Callithrix jacchus: one gene and its partner. The protein of the gene in region 2 purifies or fractionates together with the protein of the main gene of each other region. This does not show direct contact. Links are inferred from orthologs where the notes say so. Each region holds a gene or a part of one and is shown on either strand. Other genes may lie near its edges.

What was found.
Region 1: the proteins of DBF4B (region 2) and CDC7 purify together in Homo sapiens (affinity purification with mass spectrometry; 3 studies listed by BioGRID and IntAct, counting the BioPlex papers as one, with this or other methods). This does not show direct contact. The link is inferred for Callithrix jacchus from reciprocal best matches to the Homo sapiens genes DBF4B and CDC7.

Annotation. Positions count from the first base shown.
Region 1 is NC_133508.1:128,976,205-128,979,704, reverse strand, and holds part of CDC7 (cell division cycle 7-related protein kinase), read right to left. Parts: intron 1,239-3,500; coding exon 1,089-1,238; intron 1-1,088. UniProt on the Homo sapiens protein: Kinase involved in initiation of DNA replication. Phosphorylates critical substrates that regulate the G1/S phase transition and initiation of DNA replication, such as MCM proteins and CLASPIN.
Region 2 is NC_133506.1:85,152,312-85,155,811, reverse strand, and holds the end of DBF4B (protein DBF4 homolog B), read right to left. Parts: intron 3,333-3,500; coding exon 3,208-3,332; intron 2,387-3,207; coding exon 1,618-2,386; 3' UTR 220-1,617; downstream 1-219. UniProt on the Homo sapiens protein: Regulatory subunit for CDC7 which activates its kinase activity thereby playing a central role in DNA replication and cell proliferation. Required for progression of S and M phases.

The sequences.
Region 1 (3,500 bases), on a different chromosome or scaffold from region 2:
GACCATAGCACTGATGCCTAGGCAAGGGTAGTAATTTTTGCAGTGGTTCTTAAAACACCAGTAGTTTCTTAGTCAAAATCACTTGTTTTTTTTTTCAAACTAACAAGACTGGAGCCTTCGTAAGTATCTTACTTTTCTGAATCATATTTTCCAAGAATGGATAGAGGGGCAGGCATATGTATTTCTTAAAGATTCGCAGATAATTCTAACATGCAAACCCCAGTTAAGACACAATGATCCTGGGGCTGAGCACAAGGCAGCCTCGCTACTCTGGAGGTAGGCTGGCTGAAACTTTGTCCCCTGAGGTGTTCCATATTGTGTGGCAGTAAGCTGACTCAATCATACTTTTTCCTTGGGAAAGTATTAACTATAATTGAGCTTGGAAAATAAACATTAAATGGACATTTGAGTTCAGGTTGTTGGCCAGAGCAAGGCTGAGATAATTCTCACATGCCCTATGAAGTACACTGCATCTCCCAGTCTTGAAGAACTTGCATGGCTGAGTTGACATCCATGTCCAATATATGCTTACAATAATATTCCATCAATTGACACCTTCTATGCATTTTGCTTCTCTGCTACCCTAAATTCACACAACCTGACAACACACATTTCTATTCTCTTCCCCAGTCCTTATTACACTATATTAACAATTAACTGTTTACTTGTTAGTATAGCCTATGATCATTTAAGGCAAGGACACTCTAGGTACCAAGACGTAGTGCATCTGATGCTTAAAATACAATAAAAAAGTAAAACATATTATTAAAGATATTTATGTAACGAAAGTGAAACCATAACTAAAAGGAGTTAAGATTTTACTCTTTATTCTTTTAATATTACAAAGGCAAACTTTAAATATTGCAATAATGTATTACTTTGTGTTTAAAAAGATTAAATGATTATATGTATAGAGGAGAGGTGATGATAAATTTATTTTTAAGCAATTGAAGAATTTTCTACTTAATATTAGAACTTTATCAAGACTGAATGTTTATTTGTAAAGAGAGTTTCATAATAATTTATTAAGCAATTTGTAGGAGATAATCAAAGGCATTTGTTTTGTTCTGTAACACAAAACTGCTTACCAAAAGTTTTAGCAGCTTGGATAGTTTCTCTGGATCCCCGAATTGTCATAATTTGGGCCAAAGCAGTTAAATCATCACTTGCTTTATAAAATGGATATCGTCCACTAAGCAAAGAAAGAAATATGACACCTGCAGACCACATGTCGATTGCTGTAACAGAAGATAAATTTTAAAAATAAATTTCAAATATATAATTTTATTATCTAAATCAATAGTTCTCAACATTTACTATGCATTAGAATCATCTTGGGAGCCTTAAAAAATTCAGATGCTCAGACCCAGAGATTTTGATTGCACAGTTCTGAAGCAGTTCAATGTTTTAAAAAAGTTCCTCAGGTGATTTTAATATATAACCAGGATTAAGAATCCTCTCTGCAAAATATAATGTTTCCTTCTAGAGCAACATTTGGTACATTTAAAAGGATATTTAGTCATTAGGAAACACTAAGTAAATGTACATTTTATAAGATCAAATGGAATCCAAAAATAGCTATGTGGGAAAAAATCCAGATGATCCTCGAGTATGACATACCATACCGGTCAAAGGGCTTTCATTTTAGTGAAAAGTAATGAACATTAGAAGGTCTTCTTCAGCGGACACTAGCACTAACTACTGCTCTAGAAACTTTTAAAAAGTTATATTTTTGTACAGTTGTGAAGACTAATTTTTGTGAGTACAGAGTAGATGTATTTATTGATAAGGCATATGAGATGTTTTGATACAGGCATGCAATGTGTAATAATCACATCCTGAAAATAGAGTATCCATTCCCTCAAGCATTTATCCTTTGTGTTACAAACAATTCAATTATCTTCTCTTTTTTGAGACAGGGTCTCGCTCTGTTGCCCAGGCTAGAGTGCAGTGGAGCCGTCTCAGCTCACTGCAACCTCTGCCTCCCAGGTTCAAGCAATTCTCGTGCTTCAGCCTCTTGAGTAGCTGGGATTATAGGTACGCGTCATCATGACCAGCTAATTTTGTTTTTCTTTTTGTAGTTTTAGTAGAGACAGGGTTTTGCCATGTTGGCCAGGCTGGTCTCAAGCTCCTGGGCTCAAGTGATCTGCCTGCCTCGGCTTCTCAAAGTGCTTTTAGTTATTTTAAAATGTACAATTAAATTATGATTGACTATAGTCCCCCTGTTGTGCTATCAGATACTATGTCTTATTCAACCTTTTTTTTGAGATGAGGTCTGGCTCTGTTGCCCAGGTTAAAGTGTGGTGGTGTGATCTCAGCTCACTGCAACCTCCGTCTCCCAGGCTCAAGTGATCCTCCCACTTCAGCCTCCTGAGTAGCTGGGACCACAAGTGTACAAGCTACTTTTTTGTATTTTTGGTAGAAATAGGGGTCTACCATGTTGCCCAGGCTGGTCTCGAGCTCCTGAGCTCAAGCAATCCACCTGCCTTGGTCTCCCAAAGTGCTAGGTTATTCATTCTTTATAACTAGTTTTTGTACCCGTTAGCCATCCCCACATCCCCCACACCCTGCCACTACCCTTCTCAGCCTCTGGTAACCGTCTGTCCCCTCTCTATGGGTTGAACTGTTTTGATTTTTAGATCCCACAAATAAGTGAGAACATGCAATGCTTGTCTTTTGGTGCCTGGCTTATTCCACTTAACATAATGATCTCTAGCTCCATCCATGTTGTTACAAATGACAAGATCTTTTTCATGGCTGAATAGTACTCCATTGTTTATAAGTACATTTTCTTTATCCATTTATCTGTTGGTGGACACTTAGGTAGCTTCCAAATTCTGGCTATTATGAATAGGGCTACAACAAACATGGGAGTGCAGATACCTCTTTGGTACATTGATATCCTTTCTTTTGGGTATATACCCAGCAATGGAATTGATGGATCATGTAGTAGCTCTATTTTTTAGTTTTCTGAGGAACATCCAAACTGTTTTCCATAGTGGTTGTGCTAATTTACATTCCCACTATAGGAAGTTTAATCTTCTGACTTCTGGCAGTTAAAGATTATGACTAGCTCAACTTCTTGTTAAAGAGTTCCTTGTTTTTTCTTTTAAGTACGTCTTTTCTAATTGTTGACCTCCTAGTATCACCAGGTTATATGCTCTCTATTCCTTTGGCTACTGTATCACTTGCCTGCCTTCCTTTATTTTCCTTTCTCTCTCTCTCTTTGAGATGAGATGAAGTTTTGCTTTTGTTGCCCAGGCTGGAGTGCAATGGTGGGATCTCAGCTCACCACAACCTCTGCCTCCTGGGTTCAAGCGATTCTTCTGCCTCAGCCTCCCAAGTAGCTGGGATTACAGGTGTGCACCACTAACACCTGGCTAATTTTTGTATTTTTAGTAGAGAAGGGGTTTCACCACATTGGCCAGGCTGGTCTTAAACTTCTGACCTCAGGTGATCCGCCCATCTCAGCCTCCAAAAGTGCTGGGATTACAGCATGA
Region 2 (3,500 bases):
AAGTAGGTGACAGGATGAGACTGGGTAAAGGAGGCTGCGCAGGGACAGAGGCCGCACTGCTCCCGGAGCCCTTGGGGGAGACGCAGGAGGCACTCACACATGTACAGCTTGCAGAAAGCCCCATCCCACCATCCAACGATTCCCTGCAGGCCCGCAGCCCTGCCTTGGGTCACTGGAGGGCAGATCAAGGACCAACACATGACACTCCAGCCTCATCTCTTTGCTATTTGTTATTAACAAATTTATTTACATTTCCTGAACCAAAATTCATTATAAAACTTAACAGGAAGGGGGTAACATGACCTCTAAGGTGGGCTGTACACACAGTTAGTTGCTCTATTTCCAAACTAAGAACTTGGGTCCTCACCAGTAGCTGGGCCCCCCTTTCTTCCTCTGAAAGGAGACACAGAATAGCGCCAGGCTTCCGGGAGCTTCAACATTTAAAGAGACAATGCATGGATGCAGAGAAGGGTGAGAAGAACCACAGTACAAATTGTAATGAAAAAAAAAAAAAAGTGGCCAGAGAATCGATAACAAACCCATTTCTGTCTCCAGATTAATGGCTTGGCTGCCAGAAATGGGGGGAGGTCCTTGGGGAAAGAGAGGAGGGAGTGAGGGAGGAGGGTGAGTGGAAGTTGGCAGGTGACACACTGGCCCCGGAATAGCCGAACTCCAGGTGGGCAGCTCAAGCTGAGGAGACAGAGAAGGGCTGAGAGGGGTTCCACATCCTGGGCTCAGGGGAAATGTCAGTGCTGGGCCCCAACTAAGTGCCTGGGGGAGGGAGCTCTGTGAGTGGCACAGCCCGAGCCCCTCCTCTGCTTCATATGTTCCTGAGGATCTGTGTGCAGGAGTGTGGGGGGCTGGGGGAGGGGATGAACACAGGCATTTCGGAAAGCAAGAGAGGCAACATGCTCGTGGAAAAGGAGGCTGGGGTTGGGGGTGGAGAATACCAACAGCTAACCCTCGGCTCTGCAGAGGCAACAGCCTGCGGAGGGCCAGGAAGCTGGGCCAGGACTCCTGCTGCCCCAACTCCTTTGTGGTCCCTCCCCATGCCAACTTCATCTCTGCCTCCTGGCATGGGTGGCCGGCCTCGGCTGGGTAAGCCCACTGTAGACTCTGCCTGGTTAGGAACATGGTGGAGGTGGGAGTAGGAGAGGGCTGCCTCCAGCCCAGATTCTCTCCCAAAGACCTGGCCAGTGGGAGGGCTGGCTCCGTAAGCTCCATGGAGCTGAATGTGACAGCTGCTTACTGGACTTCAAAGGCCAGGCCCAGGCCTCCTTCTGGCTCTTTTGGGGAAGTCCTGGGGCTCTGCCCCTCCTGTGTCCTGATCAGCCCTGGCGGGATGTGTGGCACCCAGCAGAAGAATAAGTTGTGTCTTTGGCCCTTCAGTCTGGAGCTGCCTCGCCCCGTGAAGAGCCAAGCACCTTGGGGACTCATAGGAGCAGCTCTCTGACAGTAGGGGGCTGGGGCTGGGGCCGGGGTTGGGAGACAGGGAGGGAGGGCACCTGGAGAGGCTGGGGGGCCCAGAAGCATCGGGAGCAACTGGCTCCTGCACTGGCTAGCTGGGGCTTGGGGATAGAGGTAGACTTCTTCTCTGCAGGTGCTTCTGAGGGCTGCTCACTGGTAGCTGAGTGCAGCGGGGCTGATGGCCAGCCTGGAGCTATGGGGCAGCTGGCCAGCCTCCTGGGATTCAGGGCCAGGGGCTGCACATTCAGAATCCTCAGGCCCTGGGGGCCACTCTCCGCCTGGCCAGGGGGGATGTGTGGCCCAGAACTCTGCTGGTCTGTCTGTGAGCTGCCAGGGGAAGGGGTCTGGGAGAGAGAGGCAGGTCTGTGAGTGGCATGAGGGCAGGAGGGAGGCAAGGGGCCTAGACTCATGGCCTGAAAGAGGAAGAGAGGGAAGATGCTTGCCACTGGTTGTCCTGGTACCACAGGGGCTGGGGGCTCTTGGGACAAAAAATGAAGCCTGTGGCCAGGAGGCCCCCGCTCTCTTCTCAGCACTGCCACTGGGGAACTGAACCTTCCGCTTGTGGCCAACAAGTGCCAGGTCTGGGCCAGAGGAGAGTTCCATAAAACCACAGCTAGGCAGGAGGCATTGGCAAGCAGGGCTCCTGGACACCAGTGTCCCTGGGTGGTCCACAAACACATCAACTGACCCCTCCAGGTCCTGGCAGCTTGCTATAGGTCCGGGTATCTTGCCAGTCCCTGCACATTCAGCTGGTGCCTGCATGCTGTCCACTGTCCCATCCTGCTCTGGGAAGCCTGATGCCTGGCAGCTGTCTTCTTTCCTCATCCTGGGAGATGCTGCTCTGGGATGGGAGAGCTGGCAGGGGTGCAGAGTCTCAGGAAAGAGAGGGTCACAGTCAGAAGCCAGGGAACCTGACAACCTGTTGGGACAGAAACACCCAGTGAGCCGCAGGTGTCAACTCCACAGCAGGTGTGGCCCAGGGCTGAGGGCACAGGGAGAGCTGCCACAGCTGGCAGTTTGTGTGCTGAGAGAGCTGCCTACTCTGGGGCCTTGTGTGAAAGCCCTCCTGTTTGGGTCTGAACCTGCTGCAGCAGCCAGCACCGTGTGTACTTCTCTTGGCTCTGTGGCCTGTGGTTGGGGCCGACCAGAGGAACAGGTTGGAGGCTCTTCCATTTAATTATTTCACAGAGGAGGCTGTGCCCTTTGGCAACTAGAGAAAGCAGCGCAGTGTCTGGCTGTGAGAGCTGAGCTTGAGGTGGAGATTTGGGATGAGAGGTGAAGCCACTGCCCCAAGTAGGAGAGGATCTGCCTTCCTGGCAGAAATGGGTAGCTGGGCTCAGAGGGACCTGGAATTCCCACCAATCCCCATGCAGTGGTTCCTTCTGGGCGTGACTTCTAGAGAGGGAGAAAGACTTTGCTCTTTACCCATCTGGGAGGGGCCCAGGAACTACTCCCCCTGCTCCCTGGCCAGAACGGCTTATTATCCACATCAAAGCCTGTAGGAAGGGAGCCACAGTCTGGTCTAGGTCTAATCTTGATCAACTGAAGCCACAAATGGAGGTCTTTTTATTTTTGGCCACCCCCAAAACAAATAGGACCAAGGATGAGGGGAAAAGAAGGTGAGAAAAGAGAAAAACATCACAGTCTGGTCCTAGCAGCCACCAACCTGAGGTCTCTTCCCACCTAGAGGGCAACAGAGGAGAGTGCAGATGCAGTTGTGCCTGCCAGTGCGGCACTCACCTGGGGAGACTGGCCTGGAAAGGAATGTCTGCAAAACTGTGGCTGAGCTGGGCGATGATCCTGTCCACCTCTGCATATGGACGGGCTTCTAGGGCAAAGCCCCGGTGCTGGGCACTCTGAAGATGCTGCCAGGGGGTGAGAGGAGGACAGGGCATTAGATGAGGCCTGCAGGGAAGGGGACACACAAGCTGACCTCCCAGCCCATGCTCTGGCCCTGGAGGACACAGCCACAGCAGCATGGAGATTGAGCAGGAAGGACTCATCCCCAGTGGGCAGGTTCCCTCAGGGCACTC